Elephas maximus indicus: one gene and its partner. Each later gene encodes a partner of the first gene's protein in a complex. Links are inferred from orthologs where the notes say so. Each region holds a gene or a part of one and is shown in the gene's direction. Other genes may lie near its edges.

What was found.
Region 2: the proteins of RIMS2 (region 1) and UNC13A are in contact, whole or in part, in a crystal structure (PDB 2CJS), measured with the Rattus norvegicus proteins. The link is inferred for Elephas maximus indicus from reciprocal best matches to the Homo sapiens genes RIMS2 and UNC13A. Residues at the interface, in XP_063118965.1 of Rattus norvegicus: Asp102, Gly103, Cys104, Ser109, Gln112, Val123, Leu125, Ser127, Asn128, Lys129, Val134, Met135, Trp136; in NP_074052.2 of Rattus norvegicus: Tyr23, Ile36, Trp65, Leu69, Ile70, Trp71, Asp72, Thr73, Met74.

Annotation. Positions count from the first base shown.
Region 1 is NC_064833.1:38,554,738-38,565,334, reverse strand, and holds the start of RIMS2 (regulating synaptic membrane exocytosis protein 2), read left to right. Parts: upstream 1-6,476; coding exon 6,477-6,652; intron 6,653-10,597. UniProt on the Homo sapiens protein: Rab effector involved in exocytosis. May act as scaffold protein. Plays a role in dendrite formation by melanocytes.
Region 2 is NC_064821.1:37,741,443-37,751,360, reverse strand, and holds the start of UNC13A (protein unc-13 homolog A), read left to right. Parts: upstream 1-5,486; 5' UTR 5,487-5,658; coding exon 5,659-5,704; intron 5,705-9,918. Other genes in the region: MAP1S (microtubule-associated protein 1S), read right to left, coding at 1-831, 1,393-1,533, 2,095-2,177, 3,221-3,322, 5,252-5,372. UniProt on the Homo sapiens protein: Plays a role in vesicle maturation during exocytosis as a target of the diacylglycerol second messenger pathway.

The DNA of each region.
Region 1 (10,597 bases):
CTGTTATAATCTACTGTTGCAGAATAGCCACAAAAATAAACTCTGAAAACAGTGAGTAAAAAGTTCTATTTGTGTCTCGAAGCGTAAACCACTGTGCACCTGTATCCTTTCAGGAATTGTGTGAGCATATGTTTTTGAACATGGATGAGGAAATGAAGGCAGGATATCTTCTTGGAAATCAAAGCTGATCACGTTCACTTTCTGGCTAAAAGACCTCCAGTGCCTGTCTGATGACTATAAATTGAAATTATTCAGCATAGCATATAATGTTGTAGCATAATCTTGCTACAATCTATTTTTCCAGCTTTTTCTTTTGTTACAACTCTCTGCCTTCCTCCTTTTATACTCCAATACCAGTCTTCCCTTTATACTCCAATAACAGTGACTTTTCTCATTATTTTGTGTCTGCTCATTTAATTGTTCAGAAAATATTTATTGAGCTGCTATCATGTCTGAGCCACTCTGCTAGGTCCTGGGGAAACTGGAGTGAAAGGCACATTGCTTGCTGCTAAAGAATCCATATTCCTGTTGGGAAAACAGACAAGGAAATAAATGAATCTAACACAGAATGGCAAGTGCTATCTATGAGTAAGGTTTGCTGAGAGAGCCTGGGCAATACAGGCGGAAGGAGTAGAAAGGAAGGGATGTGCATATGGTGCAGAAGACAAAGATGCTAATCAGACTGAGGAGAAGGTTATAGAAGAGGGAGTAGAAAAAAAGATCCAAGCTGAAGGAAAAGAAAGTCACAGAAATGAGAAGCTTTATATTCAGTAAATTGCAAGTAGACTATTATGGCAGAAGAGAGGGGTGTACATGCAGGTAGTGTTGGAGATGATGCTAGAGAGATAGGCAGGAGCTGAATCCTAAAGGAACTGTATACCTTGACTTCTTTGTGTCCATTTTTCTCTTTCGAGGACACCATTTCCCTTTCCCCTGCTCAGCTTAAGCTAACAATGACAAAGCTGCTAACCAGAATTTCATTCAACAAAAATTTATTGGAACACCACACACTGTTCTAGCTGCCTGGGATACATTAGTAAAATTCCTGCTCTGTCCTGTGCTTATATTTTAGTTAAGGGAAGTTGATGATTAATGATCAACTTGGAGTGAAAATACAGTCGTCAGAGAGAGTAAGTGTTATGAAAAAAAGAAAAAGTAGGGTAAAGTAAATGAAATTGGAGTGATCAGGGAAGGGGATGGCAGGTTGGAGTATTAAATAGAATGGACAACTGAACAAAGATTTGAAGATGAGGGAGTTAACCAAGTGAATTTCTTGGTGAAGTGCGTTCCAGGCAGACAGAACAGCTAGAGGAAAGCCTAAAAGGAAGTAGTAGGAGAGGAGTCAGAGAGATCATGTGGGACCTGTAAGCTACTTTAGGAGTTTAGTGCTTATTCTGAGTAAAATGGGGAACCACTGCAGGGTTTTGACCAGTGGAGTGATATAATGTAACGTTTATGAAGATTACTCTTTTTGCTGTGTTGAGAAAAGACTCAGAGCCACAAGGGTAGAAGCAGGGAAACCTGTTAGAAACTGTAGAAATGCCAACCATCCAAGTATGTGTAGTACGAGAGTTGCCACAATTCCAAGCACTGACAGCCAGATTTCTTAGCAGAGTACTGAATGAGTCTTCAGTAAATTCTAGTGATAATTGTAGTTTATTACTTTAGTTTAGGCATATCTCCTAGTAACTTATTTAGTAGATTACAAGTAAATAGCCCTTATTCATATGTAAAAATGAACATATAGACCCACAGGCTTCATTGGCCTAGAAGAAGTCAGAAAGGACTTGCATTTTGGGATTAGTTTGTGACCTTTAAAGAGAACTCAGTGACCAAGATGGTAAGTTACTTCTAAAATTAAGCAAGAATATTACAGTTTTAGCTGAACTTCAGATGTGTTCATACACTTGAGGGACGTGCCCGCGTGAAATATAATGCCATACAGACTACAGTGATATGTGACAAACATGTTAAAACAGTAAACCAGAACAAAGAAAATACCTCTAAGAGTCATGTCATAGATAGACGTCTTTTGAAGGTATTTTATTTTCTTTAGTTTTCAGCATAGGAATCTTATGCTAAATTGGGTGGCTGCTTTGAAAAATAGCCCTCTTAAAAATTCTGTGTGATACATAAGGAGCCCTGGTGGCACAGTAGTAAAGTGCTCAGCTGCTAATCAAAAGGTTGGCGGTTCAAACCCACCAGCTGCTCCAAGGGAAAGAGATGTGGTGGTCTGTTTCCATAAAGATCACAACTTTGGAAACCCTATGAGTTGGTTCTAATCTGTCCTATAGGGTCACTCTATGAGTTGGAATAGACTCAATAGTAATGGGCTATGTGATATAGATTTCATCTATATGATATATAAATACTGTGACAAATTTTTACTTCGAAAAGGTGTGGATCAAGGTGGATGATTTTAAGACACTTTAACTTCTAAGGTTTTACTTCGAAAAAGTGTGGATCAAGGTGGATGATGATTTTAAGACACTTTAACTTCTAAGGATTCCCTTCAATAGGAAAAACACATCTAGTTGCAGAAAGGCTGTTAAGAAGAAACACAGTAAGCCCATTCACTTCTGCTGCTGTCTGTAAGAGGTCTGCTGTCCCAATGATTCCAGCTCATGCGTATTGTATTTCATATGCTGGCACTGTGTCCAGGCAGGTGAGAGGCAGTGGGGATGCAGGGAGACACAACTGCAAGCACCCAGCATGCTATGTCACTGGCAGAAAAATGGTGCAGGGCCCAGGAGGTGACCCACTACTGTAAAGGAAGCCCAAATCATCCAATACGGACAATTACTTTTTTTTTTTTTAATAATTTTTATTGTGCTTTAAGTGAAAGTTTACAAATCAAGTCAGTCTGTCACATATAAGCTTATATACACCTTACTTCATACTCCCACTTACTCACCCCCTAATGAGTCCGCCCGCTCCCTCCTTCCAGTCTCTCCTTTCATGACAATTTTGCCAGTTTCTAACCCTCTCTACCCTCCTATCTCCCCTCCAGACAGGAGATGCCAACACAGTCTTGGACAATCACTTTTAAGTTCACATTTTATGTACTCAAAATAACTAAGCTATTATAACAGTTTGATATGTGTGTATTCCGGATTCTGGCTCTGCTTGGGTTGATAGTTGGCTGAGGGTGGGGGGTGGTGTTACTTTTTCAAATCTGGCCCAGAAATAGTTGAATGAGGTAGAGTGTTCCACCCATCCTTTTGATTATTTCTAGCTCTGTTCTCTCTTCTAAAGGAGCACTTAGCGTATTTTAGTGACACTTAGGGTTTCCAAGGATAAAGTCATAGATATGTGTATTTGCTGGTACCTCTCATTCCATGTGAGAGAAAATTGTGGATAGCATTGGATAATACATTTCAATTTTGGTAGAAAAATTTACTTCTCTCTAAAAGTGTTCTTTTTGTTTGTTTTCCTCTTCTCAGTTGTGATTTTTCTCAACTTCTGTGTGTGGCAATGCACAGTGCAGTTCTTAACCTTTGCTATACATTTGTCACTTGTGGAGCTTTCAAAATATACCTACTGGCAGGGTCCGAACCCCAGAGATTTATTCATTTGATCCAGGGTTGGTCCCAGATGGTATTTTAAAAAATACCCATGTAATTTTAATGTGTAGCCAGGGTTGAAAACCACCATGGTTTCAACTTGGAGTAAAAGTATCCAGGTTCTAGTTCCTAGCTTTGCCATTTACTACTGGCTGATCTTGGTCCTCAATTTCCCACAGCATGACAAGGTTGTATAAGAGATTTATAAAAATTCTCTAACTCTAAAACAAAATTAAATAAATTGGAATTTGTATGACCTCATCTGGTTTGCTCAGCTCCAAAGAGATGAAAACCGAGCTATTTGGAGTATGAGAATTTGGTTTGAAGCAGGTGACTAATAAAAATAAATACTAAAAATTGCACTTAAGTAAACTTTCCCCTCCTTCCTCTTCCCAATTACAAGGTGTAGGAGAAAACGAAAATAGAAATTTAAGCTTAGAAATGACAAGAGACTTCTACAGCTGCTTTGTCTGTCCCCCAGCTCTCTTAAATTGAGAGCTAGTCAGATAGTACCTTGGGACAGAAGGAGGAGAGAAAGAGCTTACTACACACCAAGAAAGTAAATACGATACAAACCCCAGAGGTTTTATACTACTCTTCATACCATAATCTGGCCTGGCACTGAACACTGTGCATGTGGGAGGTGGGGTAGCGGTGTGTATACACATATGTACATACGCACAAGTACACACATACACACACACACACCCGACATGCCGCTATTCCCAGGGCTGGCAGCAAGCGCCCAGAAGAGGGGGTGGTCCCTGGTGACTTACCCCTACCTCGCCTGGCCTCATCTCACCGCTGCCCCGCCACCACAGGGAGGGTTGTCAGGGTGGCGCTCAGCCCTGCGGAGAGCAGAGGCGGTGGCGGTCACAGCAGTTCCAGGGCTGGTTTTTCATCTATGCTCGGAGCCCTTGTGGCGCAGTGGTTAAGCGATCGGCTGCTAACCAAAAACGTCAGCAGTTCGAATCCACCAGCTGCTCCTTGGAAACCCTATGGGGCAGTTCTAATTTGTCCGACAGGGTTGCTACGAGTCGGAATCGGCTCAATAGCAACGTTTTTTTTCTTTTTCCGTCCCCTTTTCACCCAGCCCATCTCCGTGCTTCAAAAAATCAGACTCCGACTCTAACCTGATCTCCCTGCTTCTCTACTTCTTCTTTAGACTAGGTTGAGTGCCCTTGGCCCAAGCGCTGGCTCACCCTCGCCCGGGTGGTCCTTAGCCCTTTTTCCTTCATAGCCCACCCCCACCCACCGTGGCGTCCTCATCCTCACACTCCTGCTAGACAGACCTTGACACCTCCAATCTCACCTCCCCACTTCTCCACGCTCTCCTACAACCTCTCCGCGTATTCTGATCCCTCTAGCCCTGTTTTCCAGAACTTCCTCACCCATCATCCGCCCACCCTGCCCGGAGCCGCAACAGCACCTCTGCTAACCACTTGTTCACACACTCCCTCCCCTCAGGTTACCCCCTCACGCTCTTCCCAGTTCCTGGCGCTCCCATCCCTGACACCCCGGGCGCCCCCATCTAACTCGATCAGGCCCTCCCTCCTTCCAGGACCCCAGCCCCAAAACCTTGGGCGCCCCACGTCTTCACACTCTCCCCTCACCCTCCGACACCTCGGGTGCCTCCCCGTCCCCAGCTCACACTCTTTCACCTCCGAACCTGACACCCCAGGAGTACCTGCCTTCTCCCCCACACTCTTCCCTCCCACTCACGACTCCTCGTGCGCCCTCCACACGTTCACATTCTCCACATCCCGGGCTCCGAACTCGGGAGCCCACTCAGACTCTTCCCCTCCGCCTCTCTCCGCCCAGCACCAGCCCACAGGTCGCGTTCGGGAGGGGGTGGCCGCCGCCCGCCGTGCCCGGGCCTGGGGAGGTGACGCGGCCCGCGCGGGAGGAGCCCCGGAGGCGAAGGGGCGGAGGAGGCGCGGGCGGCGGCACCGAGCGGCGGCGGCGGCGCAGGGTGCTGGCCTTCCGCGCCGACTCCAAGGACCCAAGGGGCGGCGGCGGCGGCGGCTGAGACCCCCGGCGGGCGCGTGATGAGGAGGGGTCGGCACCTGGCCCTGCTACGCGTCGGAGCTCGCTCGGATCCGGGCGGGCGCCGCAGCCAAGCGGCCCTGACTCTCGGACTCTCCGCCTATAGCCCCTATCATTCCTCCTCCTCCGCTTTCGCTTCCCCTCTCTAGCCCGGGGGTCTCCGCCCGCAGTCTCCGGCCCCGCGGCCTTCTCCCCTTCGCTTCTCAAGGGGTCGGGTCTCCGCGACGCCGGGGAGCCCTGTGACGCGCCAACCGGCGGGACGCCGGAGCAGCTTCTCCGGGAAATTCATCCCTGCCTCCTCACTCCCCCCGGGCTCCCGCCTCGGCGCCCCTCGGGCCCGTGGGACGCAGCCTTCGGCGTCCGGAGCCGGTTCCTGGGACTCCCCTCGGGGGCTGGTTCGCCGTCACCCCTCCCCCCAGGCGGCGGGTGCGCCCCCCCGCAGCGGCAGGACACACTCTGGCCCGACCGGCGCGCCGCCCTCCCACCGCTCCCTCCAGTCACCCCACCCTCAGCCGTTCCCACCACCTTACTCCACCGCCCTCCCCCGCCGCCTCGCGCACTTCGCGTCCGGGCCCGGCCTCCTGCTCCTCGATTCCGTGCAGCTCACTTGCCAGCCCTTCGCCCGCGGGAAGAAGAAACATTTCCCGGAGCGCACGCCCCAGCCCCCTCCCCCCGCAGGCGTCTTCCCCTCCCCCTGCTCTTTCTGTCTTGACGGAGGGGGGCTGTCGCCTCAGATTGAAGGCCATTGATTTGTATGTATTTGTCCCGGCGCCGGAGGCTGCCCCAGCCGCCCGCTCCGGTGCTGCCGCCGCTCCAGCCAGTGGAGTTGCCTCCCTGTTTCCCTAGGGTGGTTCGGCTCCACCAAACATGTCGGCTCCTGCCGGGCTCCGGGGCCGCCCGGCTCCTACCCCGGCGGCCTCTCAGCCGCCTCTGCAGCCGGAGATGCCCGACCTCAGCCACCTCACGGAGGAGGAGAGGAAAATCATCCTGGCCGTCATGGATCGGCAGAAGAAAGAAGAGGAGAAGGAGCAGTCCGTGCTCAAGTAAGGACCCGGCTCCATCTTCCCGCCTTGCCCCTTGCCCTCCACCCCTCGGCCGCTGCCCCGCGGCCGCCGGCGCGCCCCGGATCGCCGCCCTCCCCACCCGCCGGCGGCGCTGGGGCCAAGAGGGCTGAGGCCGGCGCCGGGGCTGCTTTCTGGGTGTCGAGCGCGGGGGTGCGTGTCGGGGAGGGAGGGCGCCGAGGCCGGCTGAGGTGAGGGTGGCGAATGTTCCCCGGCGCCCTTCCGGCTCTCCCCGCGGGCGGGTTCGGCTCCGAGGCCCCGGCGGGGCTGGGGCTGAGCCCAGGCTCCGCGCGTCCCTTCTCCCTTACTCGCCGCCCCCGCGCGGAGGCAGGGGCTGGGGCAAGGAATCCAATATGGCGGTGCACAGGTGCTCCCAGGCCGGACCCGGCGAAGGTGCGCCAGCCGGGGGGTGCGGGCGCCGCCGGGGCCGCTCGTCCCGCGCCGCCTCACAGTGGTTCTGCCCCCAACGCGGAGAATAGCAGAGACGCCCCCCTTCGCGGCGGGCGAGGGGCTTAAGCCCAGTCGCGTCTCGGGTGGGTGTGCGGCCGTCGCCATCTTCCAGCCCCTCCCCCTCGGCGGGTTCTGACACCCTGCACTCTGCTGCTCTTCCTGTTTGCAACTAGTAAATCTGTTTAATCCTGAAGAGACTCCAGTTCCTACCATTGCTGCAGTTTGGGATGCTTCCTACCTTGTGAAGTTTTACTGTTCGTGCTCACAGTCTAGCCGGCCGGGATTTGGCGGAGGCTGAGAGGACTGAAAGTAGCTCGCAGGCTTGGGTTTCGCGGCTGTGTAACTTCAGCACCAGGAACTGTCCAGACAGGGTTGCCTGTGGCTTTTGAGATTGCTTTCCTTGTTAGTGTAGTGAGATTTGTTTCTACGAGTTTGCTTTAAATATTTTATGCCTATTTGATTTCTCAGTTACTACGTGAAAGAGATTGTGTAGGAGATATGTTCCTCTTTGTGTTTTATTCAACTCAATTTTTAAAAATTTAAATGAATTATCCCAAGAGATTAATTTATACAGTTTACATTCCAAAGCTGGGACAGTTTTTTTTTTTTTTTTTTTTTTGCAAAGCTGAGACAGTGTTTTGAAATATACGTTTCCCATATTCTTCACAGAAACACACAATTGAAAGCGAAGGGTCTTTATATGAAGGAACTAACACACTGACCTCTAATCACTTAAATTTTAAGAACGGGTTCTTGCATTCAGTATTCTTTAATACACTTACAGAGAAGCAGTTCTTTCTTCTTATATGTATATTCTCTCTTCTGAATATATATTTCATATTTTAATGAAAATTACTACTCAAAATAATTTATGACAATAAACATACCAAATATATATAGATCTTAGAGAAAAATAGTATTTCTGACAAAAACTTGAAGGGCTAAGAAAGCAAATGTATTCCTGGCCGATTAACTGAAGTTAAGAAAACTTAGTTCTTTAAGATAATTTCTGGAATTGAATGCCTGTTTGGGATATGAAAAAAATTAAGGAATTTAAGTAGTTCATTGGAAGTAAGAGAAGAATAAATCATTATTTCTGAAAGCTTTTTGAGCACACTCCTAACTTTGCTTAACTTTGTTATGTATGCCAAGCTTTTGATATGAAACTTACAGCTTGATGTTTAGATATTTGGATTTACATTTTTACTATAATTGCTACAAATCAGTGTTGCCAAAATGATGCTCTAAAAAATATAGTTGTGTTTCTTTGATCCACATATTTAAATGTAAGATGTGCTGTTATTTCTTTATAGTATGCAAAATCATAGTATTTATTGGCTACTTTAATTCTAAATCTATTTATTGTTCTACTTTCCAAAGTACCCCACATTTTATTGGCAATAGATATTTTTCCTCAACTGTTCTAGTATATGGATATTTAAATGAACTTTTGAGTATTGAATTATGAATTACTCAAAATGCACAGTATATTTTAGTAGGAAAATGTGGAAGAGTTTTTCAGCTAGCTACATGTATATATGTTGTATTTGTATGTAAACCTGCATACTGTGCAGATACACATCATGATGTTTATACATTCATATTTACATAGTTTAGGTAGAAACAAACATTTCCTAAACATACATTCTTACAATCTATGACATTACATTGATGACAAACCTTTTCAGATTTATTTTAAGTGAATATTTGCCTTTCTGCCTAACTTAGTTTTGGCAGGGGTCTTATGTCAAATTGGACAACACAATTTCAGAATTATTTTTTATTAATTTTAACAAGAAGTTAAAATATATATATTTCATATTCCAATTTTAAACATTCTCTGAAATTCATTTGACTTTTGTAGGAAAATAAGAGTAGGCAAGGGAAACAAGGAAAGGAATACAGATTTTATAATAGATTACAATACGGACATAGTTTTGAAGAATTTGAAAGTTTACTAACAGCAAATAATATGTTATTAATATTGGGTATTAAATAATGTGTTGCATGTTAACATTGATTCTTAGAGAAGGTCATGGGCAGAGAAAAATAAACTGAGATTCAAATTCATGTCTACTGCCTCTTAACTGTGTTAAAAAAATACGTTTAATGTTTGAAGAGATTGAAACTATTGAATAAAAAGTATTTTTGCATGATCTGTGAGTTTTCAGTATTCATATCCAGTATTCATGCAAAGTGGAGTATGCAAACTCAAGGGCATCACAAGATGATATATTGGAGTCAGAAAGAAAATATTAGAATTTATATTTGCATTTTAACTTTTATTGGAAAAAAGAAAGAAACTAGGCTTTAATATTATTTAATGTATGGATTCACAGTATTCACATGCATATAATTTACACGTAAATATGCATATATTAAGAGTTTCATGCCAGAAACTTTTTTTTTATTGTGGTAATGAAACATTTTTAATGTGAGATGTGAGAGATCAAACAGATTGAGACCACTACAGTAATCTCTCCCCTTTGGAGCTTGAATAATTAAGAACTGTTTATACTTAATTATCGGAAACACTGGTGGCGTAGTGGTTATGAGCTACAGTTGCTAACCAATAGGTCGGCGGTTCGAATCCACCAGGCGCTCCTTGGAAACCCTATGGGGTAGTTCTACTCTGTCCTATAGGGTCGCTATGAGTTGGAATCCACTCAGTGGTAGTGGGTTTTTTGTTTTTTTTTATACTTAATTATTAGCAGTTTTTTCAAAGCCCAGCTGAATATCCACATACTTTAGAAAGTCTGCTATCACCATCAAATAATTCTGTCTTACATAGAATGAAATATTGTAATTTTGGAAGCATTTTTACATCTCAGTAGATCTCTGTTCAATAATTCCTTTTTTTCTTGCATGAATTCCTGTAGCACTTTTAGTTTGAATAACTCAATATCAATGAAATCTGTAATGTCCTTTTACTTATTAATGTTTTTTTTTAATTAACTTTTATTAAGCTTCAAGTGAACATTTACAAATCCAATCAGTCTGTCACATGTAAGTTTACATACATCTTACTCCCTTCTCCCACTTGCTCTCCCCCTATTGAGTCAGCCCTTTCAGTCTCTCGTTTCGTGCCAATTTTGCCATCTTCCCTCTCTCTCTATCTTCGCATCCCCCCTCCAGTCAAGAGTTGCCAACACACTCTCCAGTGTCCACCTGATTTAATTAGCTCACTCTTCATCAGCATCTCTCTCCCCGCCGCTGACCAGTCCCTTTCATGTCTGATGAGTTGTCTTCGGGGATGGTTCCTGTCCTGTGCCAACAGAAGGTCTGGGGAGCATTGCCGCCGGGATTCCTCTAGTCGCAGTCAGACCATTAAGTATGGTCTTTTTATGAGAATTTGGGGTCTGCCTCCCACTGATCTCCTGCTCCCTCAGGAGTTCTCTGTTGTGCTCCCTGACAGGGCAGTCATCGATTGTGGCCGGGCACCAACTAGTTCTTCTGGTCTCAGGATGATGTAGGACT
Region 2 (9,918 bases), on another chromosome or scaffold:
CCATACTAGCAAGACGCAGGCTGAGGCCAGCGTGCGGTCGGCATTGCGCCCAGCAGCCTCAGAGAGTGGGTGCAGCACGTACATGTCCAGTCGGCCCACACCCATCTTCTGGAAGAGTACAGTGGGCTGGGTGGGCAGTGGCCCACGGCTCAGGGGTAGGGGTGGAATGCCCAGGCGGGCCAGCAGGCCCAGTGCCAACCCTGCCTCGTCCACGCCGCGCACCAGCTGGGCCTCATCGACCACCGAGTCCCCGGCTGCCCCTGTGTTCAGGAACACAACGCCTAGCTCCGGCGAGATGAGGTTGCGCAGCCCCTCATCGCCCCCGCTGCCAGCTGTCGCTGCCTCACGCTCAGCCAGCTTACGCCGCAGCAGGCTGTTGAGGCCTGGCAGACTGTCAGCGCCAGTGTGGGTCACCAGCACTGCATCCACGCGGTCTAGGTGCCGCACCAGCTTCCAGAAGCTCGACTTGGGGCTCGAGCCACCATTGACCAGGATGGTGAAGCCGTTGACAGCAAAGAAGGCGGCATCGCCCAGGCCACCGGGGAAGACGTAGCAGCAGGGCCGGGCAATCTTGAGGAAGCCCATGGCAGCCGGTGGCTCCAGCAGCTCAAAGGGTGAGGGAGGCTCCAGCGACTCAGCCACATACTCCAGGAACTCACGCAGGCCCTCAGAGGCTGGCAGCCGCGCTGGCGGGTTCAGCCGCAGCTGGAGTGCCCCTGGCAGGCTTGGTACATTGGGCGCCAGCTGGGCCCAGTTGCCAAAGGTCGGGCAGGTGATGGTGAGTGTGGGCAGGGTAGACGGCGGGGGTGCCGAGGCCAGGAGCTCCCCGATCTGTGGGGACACCTAGAGTTAGGGGACCTCCAGCTGGCCCCTCACCTGCTCCCCACCCCCTTGGGACCAAACAGCCTCCCCCACCTGGCCTGCCCTCCCCTCCCGCCTTTCTCCCCACTGCTTCTCAGACTTCTCCCCCTCCCCAGCCCAGGGCAGCTATTCTGCTTCCTGGGACATAGCTCCTTTCATGGAGCCCTCCCAGACTCCCCACCTCCCTCCACTGTTATCAACCCCAACTTCCCCAACTTTACAGAGCCCACTGCAACCTGCAATATGGAGACATGGTCTGCCGGTTTATTTTTGCCCTTTTTTCCCCAACCAGACTGAGGACCCTGTCTGCCTCCGTCCCCCTGGGACTCGAAATCTAGAATGCTCCATGAGGTTTCTGGGAAGTTGGCCAAGCTACAACCCAGCTTCCTGCAGCACACTTTAGTGAATGAGAGGACTGAGCCCTGACAACCAGGGAGCGTCCTGCTCCTGCCCAACCCAGACAGGATGAGCCAGGATTTAGAGCGGGGGCGGGCGGTGGTGAGAATGGCAGGAGGGGAGAATACACCTCACCTCCTTGTCCGCCAGGACCTGGAGGAAGTGGCGTGACGAGAAGCCCCCTGTCTGGAGCAACAGCTCTCCTGTCTCCTCCAGGCATGGCCCGGCCAGCACCACCAGCTTGTGAGGGGCAGGATCCAGCAGAAAGTTCCGGAGCTAGAGGAGGGCAGAGTGTGAAGGGTCCTACTCCCTGTAGTGGGGAAGCCCCCAGCCCCAAATCTACATACCATGCCCTTCCCTAGTCCCCACCACACAGCCAGATCAGTGTTTGATCCGGAGCTGGGATGGCAGCCCCTCCAAGAACACAGGGGCTCGTACTGAGTGAAGCAGTCAGCTTGTCGGAGGGTCTCTAATGGGGTGCCCCAGGGCTCTGTCCTGCTGCTCTCTGACGAATAATGAGGAGAAAGATCTAGACTTCACCGAGGCAGGAGCATTAACAAGTCAGTTCAGGCATTGACTAGGGCCATGGAGGGAACCTTCTGGACACCAACATCAGTGTGGCCTGTGTCCCTCCAGACCTCTGTACCTGCTGAGCCTGAGCTGGGAGTGCTCCCCAGTTCCGTCACCACCACCTGCCCCACCATCACCATGGAGGAAGGAAGAGGGGCAGGCTTCCTGGGGAAGGGGTGCTGTCGCTGGTGGTCAAGAAGAGGGTTTCAGGCAGAATGACATTAGGGTCTCAGCCACCTGTCCCCTTGGACACCAAAACCCCCTTACCTCGTCACAAAGCGACTTGTCCGACGGGTTGAGGAGGACCAGGGTGTCCAGGGCATCTCCGTGGTGGTGCAGGCTCCGCTGGCCTGTGAGTGCCGGGCTGTGAGCTGGGGATGGATCCCGCCTCCCCACGTGAGCCCCCCAGCCCGGGTTAGAATGAGGAAGGATGGGGGTGCCCCTGAGCTGCCCCACTCAGCCTTACACTGTGACCACAGTGACCATGAGTCCCCACTGCATGGTGCTCCGTGGCGATCAGAGCTGCTTTCTCTGAACACTCCCAAAAGTCCTGGTAGGAGGGTGCGATTGGCACCTTATCTTACACACTGGGGCACTGAGCCCAAGGAGGACCAAAAAGGGAGGACCAACGAGGGCATGCCAGGTAGGGGCACAGCGCCAGGCAGAAGCAGTGTGAAGGGAGCCAAGGACAGAGGGCCAGGGGTGGACCATGTGGGACAGTGGGGCTGATTCTGAGACTCAAACCCTAGTCCATCCCCCAAGAACCCAGTTCTAGTCATCGTGTACCAGGCCCTGAAGTTTTGGAGGCCAAGGCCCACCAAAGCCAGTCTCTGATCATTGAACCCCTAAGCAAGCACAGATATTGCCCATTCACAGGCAGGGAAACCAAGGCAGAGAGAGGCACATGTGGCTGCCAAAGCCACATGGAGCAAATGGGATTTCCAGACTCTTCACCCTCATGAGGGGTCAGGAAGCCAGCAGGACCTGCTAGGACAATGAGGCGGCAGGCACTTCCTTCCCCTCTCATGGTGGCCAGGGGTGACTCAACTACTGGTCTTCAGGCGGGGGGGTAGGGGGAGGTGCTGGGGTGACACCTGGTATGCTCTGCTCACAGGGTCACCCCTGGATTCCCAGGGGCTGCAATCCCCTCTTCTCCATCTGACCGCTTCTTAGTTTCCCATCTATTGAGTACCTACTGTGTACAAGGCCCTGTAGAGTGCGCACATCGGATCCCATCTCCCAACTTAGCTGCTGCTCCCCTCACAAAACACTCTCCTCGGAGGGCTCTGGGCTCTGCCCCCATGCCGTGGTTTCCTCATGTGTAAGATGAGGGTGAATACACTAGCTCCTGCCTGTGGGCTGCTGAGGACAGGTGAGCTGGCATTGGCCTCACCTTTTACGATGCTGGAGAAGGTGGCCGAGTGCCGAGACACGAAGACCTTGAGCTGCTCATCGAGGCTGCAGATGCTGGGGTCCACATCCCAGGACCGGATGCCTGGTGGGTGGCAGAAGGGAAGTCAGCAGCCCCTGCTCCCAGGGTAGTTCAGTAACTAGCACCCAGGCTGTTGCCATCAAGTTGACACCAACTCCTGGTAACCCCAGGCGTGTCGGAGTAGAACTGTGTTGCAGAGAGCTTTTGAGGCTGTGACCTATCACAAGCAGATTACCAGACCTTTCTTCCAACGTGTCTCTAGATGAGTTCAAACCACCAACCTCTCAGTTAATACTTAAGCACTTAACTGTTTGCAAATGACAGCTGGGTGGCACAAACAGTTAAGCACTCAACTACTAGCCAAAAGGTTAGCAGTTCACACACACACAGGGGCACCTCTGAAGAATGGCCTGGTGATCTGATTCTGAAAGGTCACAGCCTTGAAAACCCCATGGAGTAGTTCTACTCTGCACATACAACAGAACTGACCCGACGGCAAGCAACAAGCACCTGGGGGATGAGAGCTATCCCCAGTTCCTCCCCTTGAGCTGCTCCTGCGCCCTGCGGCAGGCCTGGGGTGGGTCAGAGCCGAGCTTGTGTCTCAGGACCCATGGTGCACCTCAGCAATTTAAGGACAAGACTCAGAACCCCCTGGATGTCATCTTATCACCTCTCTCTCCTCCCTCCCCTCCTGCTCCCAGCCTCCTTCTGCTCCTCCACTGTGCAGGCCTATTCTCAGCTCTGGGCCTTAACACCAGCTGTTCCCACTGCCCTCCCCCTGCCCTTCACGTCTCATCTTTCAACTGCTTCCCCCCTGAGAAGCTCCCACCAGGCCCTGCTGTCCTTCCCCACACTCCTTGCAACAAGCCAAACTAAACCTTGTTCCTCTCCTCATTGGCTTTTGCTACACCATGAGCCAGGACATAGGGACCAGGGTGTGCCCTGTTGCCCCATTTTATAGGTGATGAGACAGAGCCTCAGGACATGTCCAAGGGATGGAGAAGGAAGGCCCTCTGGAATCAGCGTGTGGTGGACGATACCTGCCATCACACTGTGCCAGGCAGATGCAGGTACACCTGTATGACTCACCTCACCTGGGCAGGCCGCCTACCTACGCCCCAGTTAGCATCGTGTGCAGCAACGGAAAGTGGAAAATGGAGCCTGGGGGCCCAGGCCTGGCTTCTCATCCCTGCCTCCCCCAGGTGCCCTTCCTGCCCCCCCCCAAGGATGTCCCCTTCTGTCTGCTACAGGTCAGGATGAAGTGCCTGTTCCCTAAGCCCCTTCCCATCTCCCCAACCCCTCCCCCCAGCAAGTGGCACACAGCCTTGTCTGGTCACCACCCCCTTGCAGGGACAGGACCCCGCCCCTGTGTCAGCCCCAGGAGGGCGGAGCAGCAGCTCCCTGTCCCTAGGGGGTTCCTAACAGGTCCTGGGATCCAAGGTGGGGACTTCTGGCCCCAGGTGCAAACACAGAGACCCGGGCATGGCGTATCTGCACGCGGAGACCCAGGAGCCCCAAGATGGGGTTACATGATGTCGTGGACTCCGCTTGCAACGGATTCCAGGGTTCTGGCAGGGGCGATTCCCGAACTTGGGACTCCACGGGCCACCACGGCCTGGGTTGGGGAAGATGTGCTGAGACCCGGGGGTTTGAGGCAGCCCCGCCCCTCCATCCTCTTACCCCCAGGAGGGGCCCTGCGGGCGGGAAACGGGACCGTTGCCCACGTTGCCCAATCGAGCGGGCCGGGCAGTGTCCCCACCCGTGTCCCCTCCCCTGACCGCGCCGGGTGGGGCGGGGAAGCCGGGCTGGGGCTCTGCTTCCTCTGCTGGGCCTCGGCCGCCCGCCCAGGCCTGCGCCATGGCCGAGCGGGGAAGGCCCCGGAGCCCCGAGATCGCCGCGCCCGCCTGGCGTCCCCCAGCGGCCCCCGGACACCCTTCCTCAGCCCCTGCCGCGCTCGCCCTCGGGGGCCCCCAGCTTCCCCCGGCGCCCGACCTCGCTCCAGCTCCTCCAGCACATAGGACAGCAGCCCTGGGCGCCCGCACTCGCCGCCCACCACGAGCAGCAGCGCGCACGGCGCCTCCGCCGCCCCCTGCTCCGCCGCCGCCGCCGCCATCTTCGCACCGCCCGCCGCCCAGATCGCTGCCGGCCCCGCCCGCGGGCGCCGCGCTGACGTCACCTGCGGCCAATCCGGGCGCGGCGCGCCGGGCTCTGGCCCCGCCCCCAGAAGGGGTCGGGCAGAACCCACTAAAGACCGCGCCTGGAAGCCCCCCTTTGCCGCTTTCACCCCCAGGCCCTGAGAGGAGTTACTCAGCTGGGAATCGGGGCGTTGATGGGGTCGGCTGACTCCTGGGGCTCCCCACCTGGGGCTCTCCAACTGACCATTCATTCATTCAGCCAGCATGGACCGCGCGCCTACTGCGGGCCGGACAGTGTCCCTGCATTCAGGTAACTCCCATTTTACGACCCGGATGCTCCCAGACCCCAGGATGGGGACTTGAGCAGAAAAAAGGAACTCATTTTGGAGGTAGGGCGTTGAGGGATGCGTAGGGGTTTGCCAGGTGTGGGTGGTGGGGCAAGAGCATGCCAGGCAGAAGTTACAGCACAGAGAAGTTTTAGAGATAGGAAAGTACATGTGGTTTGGGACACATTCAGAGCACACTAGGTCTGCGCGGGACTGCACTTTTTCTGATCGTACTGTGCGCCAGGCATTTTATTCCATTGTTGTTGTTAGGTGCCGTCAGGAGTCAGTTCCGACCCATAGCGACCCTATGCACAACAGAACGAAACACTGCCCGGTCCTGAGCCATCCTTACAATCGTTGTTATGCTTGAGCTCATTGTTGCAGACACTGTGTCAATCCACCTTGTTAAGGGTCTTTCTCTTTTCCGCTGACCCTGTACTTTGCCAACCATGATGTCCTTCTCCAGGGACTGATCCCTCCTGACAACATGTCCAACGTATGTAAGACACAGTCTCGCCATCCTTGCTTCTAACGAGCATTCTGGTTGTACTTCTTCCAAGACAGATTTGTTCTTTCTTTTGGCAGTCCGTGGTATATTCAATATTCTTCCAATGCCACAATTCAAAGGCGTCGATTCTGCTTAGGTCTTCCTTATGTGTTGTCCAGCTTTCACATGCATATGATGCAATTGAAAATACCATGGCTTGGGTCAGGCCCAAGTTAGTCTTCAAGGTGACATCTTTGCTCTTCAACACTTTGAAGAGGTTCTTTGCAGCAGATTTGCCCAATGCAACGAGTCTTTTGATTTCTTGACTCCTGCTTCCATGGCTGTTGATTGTGGATCCAAGTAAAATGAAATCCTTGACAACTTCAGTCTTTTCTTCATTTATCATGATGTTGCTCATTGGTCCAGTTGTGAGGATTTTTGTTTTCTTTATGTTGAGATGTAATCCATACTGAAGGCTGCAGTCTTTGATCTTCATTAGTAAGTGCTTCAAGTCCTTTTCACTTTCAGGAAGCAAGGTTGTGTCATCTGCATAACCCAGGTTGTTAATGAGTCTTCCTCCAATCCTGATGCCCTGTTCTTCTTCATATAGTCCAGCTTCTTGTATTATTTGCTCAGCATACAGATTGAATAGGTATGGTGAAAGAATACAACCCTGACACACACCTTTCCTGACTTTAAACCAATCAGTATCCCCTTGTTCTGTCGGAACAACTCCCTCTTGATCTATGTAAAGGTTCCTCATGAGCACAATGAAGTGTTCTGGAATTCCCATTCTTCACAGTGTTATCCATAGTTTGTTATGATCCACACAGTCAAATGCCTTTGCATAGTCAATAAAACACAGGTAAACATCCTTCTGGTATTCTCTGCTTTCAGCCAGGATCCATCTGACAGCAATGATATCCCTGGTTCCACGTCCTCTTCTGAAACTGGCCTGAATTTCTGGCAGTTCCCTGTCAATATACTGCTGCAGCCATGTTTGGAATGATCTTCGTTAGCCGATTTCAGTTTGTGCACAAACCTGAACTGAGGTTTGGAGTGATAAAGTCACCAGGCCCTTAAGTGGCAGAGCCCAGATTTGAACCCAGCTCTGTCTGACTCCAGATCCAGCCCGTGGTAGTGACTGACTGTCTGACTCACGTGAGCATCCCTCCGCTTCCCAATCTCATTAAACCTTTCACTGATGTCTACTACTCGAAAAATCATATTGTGTCAAACTTGGACAGTCATCCATGTCCAGGAAAGTCTGGGCTGTCTCTCTTGGGAGTGAGCGCTCTGTCTCCACACATATCCAAAGCAAATCAGGGCAGAGATGGGAAATGTCTGGGAAGTGGAATCAGCCTCCAGCTGCTCTGCTTATCTGACTTGTTCAGCCCAACTTCCTCCCTGGCCAGTGTTTAATGGCCCCTGGCCAGGAGTCCACTTCCTCTCTCTCCTTGGCCCCCCGCATCCTTCCGCTATCCCTGTCACTCCCCCTTGGCTCCCTTGCCTATGTCCAGGCAGCCTGTGATTTTCTCTGTTAGGGCTCTGAGAAATAACGGGGCAGACGTGTCTGTGACGGGGCTGGAAGCTCGTTGGGGGCCAGATCACCAGGCTGAAGCCTCCTTAGGGCCCTGCCTTGGTGCAGGACAAGGCTAGCCATTTGGGAAGATCACAATAAAGGCATATGGAATGAGATCAAAAACCCATTTGTCCATCATTTATTCATTTACTCATGATTCCTTCTTGTATTTTTTTACTGGGTGTCTTAGTTCTCTAGTACTGTTTTAACAGAAATACCACAAGTGGGTGCCTTTTACAAACAGTAATCTATTTTTTCACAATTCAGGAAGCTAGAAGTCCAAATTCGGGGCACCAGCTGTAGGGGAAGCCTCTCTTTCTGTAGGCTCTGGGGGAAGATGTTTTTCAATTTTCGTAGACCCAGCATTCCTTGAATCGTTGGTGATAGTCACAGGTCATATATCTTCACCTTCATTTGTGCTTACTTCTCTGTTCCTGGAGCCCTGGTGGTACAGTGGATAAGCGTTTGGCTGCTAACCAAAAGGCTGGCAGTTCAAATCCACCAGCCGCTCCTTGGAAACCCTATGGAGCAGTTCTACTCTGTCCTATGGGTCGCTATGAGTTGGAATTGACTTAACAGCAATAAGTTTTTTCTTTGTTCCTACTCTGCTCTTTTTATATCTCAAAAGTGACTAGGTCTAAGACACACCCTACACAGATAGGGCTTCATTAACAAAACAAAGGAAATCCTATTCCCAAAGGGGATCACATCCACAGGTATAGGAGTTAGGATTCCAACACATATTGGAGAGACACAATTCAATCCACAACATTGAGTCAGAATTTGAGCCCGGGACCTTTTAACTGGAATCCATGTTCTTCCCTCTGCTCAAGGCTGTGAGCTATGATTTTTGGTATTAATTCTGGTCAGTCATAAACGGGCCTGAGTCACCAAGATGTGTCCGCAGCAGGGATCTAACTTGGTGCCTTTGGGGGCTGGTGCGGTGAGTGTTCAGGAGCCTTGGGGTCTTCCTGTCTCAGAGCATCCCTCAGCTGGGGGGTCCTGGTGTGGAAATTGTGGGGGGAATCTCTCCAGAAATGGACAAGCATCTGGGGACTGTTCACAAAATCACAAGCATCGAACTCAGGTTCCTGGCCAGCTCTGGGCCATTTCCAGGTCATCCAGCCCCAGAGCAGTCAGGCACTGGCGTTTGCTGGGAAAACGGAGCCCTGGGCCCTCAGAACTGCCAGACACTCTCATCTTCTTCCCCTGTGTATTCCTTTTCTCTGGCTGCTGTTACTAATTACACACACTGGGCAGCTTAAGCTGTCTCTGGGTGGCGCACACGGTTAAGTGGTTAAGCACTCAACTACTAGCTGAAAGGTTGGAGGTTCAAACCCACCCACAGGCACCTTGGAAGAAAAGCCTGGCAATCTGCTCCTGAAAGGTCACAGCCTTGAAAGCCCTTCTTTGCACACATGGGGTACTCATGAGTTGGAATCAAATCAACGGCAACTGGTTTGTTTCCTGGGGGGAGGTGAGGGAGGTGTGCTTAAGACAACAGGAATCTATTGATAGTCAGTTCTGGAGGCCAGAAGTCCGAATTCAGAATGTCGGTAGGTCCTTCTCCCTCCAGAGCCTCTAGGGAGGGTCCTCCCTTACCTCTTCCAGCTTCTGGTGGCTCCAAGTGTTCCTGGGCTTGTGGCTGCATCACTCCAACGTCTACTCCCATCTTCGCATAGCCATCTTCCTTGTGTGTGTCTGTCTCTCTGTGTCTACATCTCTTTCTTTTAATAAGAACACCAGTCATTGGATTTAGGGTCCATCCTAGTCTAGTACTTCTTTCAGTACTAGAAGTGCAGCCAGAATGCTCTTTGGGAGCGAGAATGGCAAGACTTCATCTTACATACTTTGGACATGTTATCAAGAAGGACCAAGCCCTGGAGAAGGACATCATCTTTGGTAAAGCAGAGGGTCAGCAAAAAAGAGGAAGACCCTCAACGAGATGGATTGACACAGTGGCTGCAACAATGGACTCAAACATAGCAATGATTGTAAGGATGGTAGAGGACCAGGCAGTGTTTTGTTCTGTTATACACGGGGTTGCTATGAGTTGGAACTGACTTGAGGGCTCCTAACAACAACAGCTAATCTAGTATGATCTCAACTTAATTGCATCTGCAAAGACC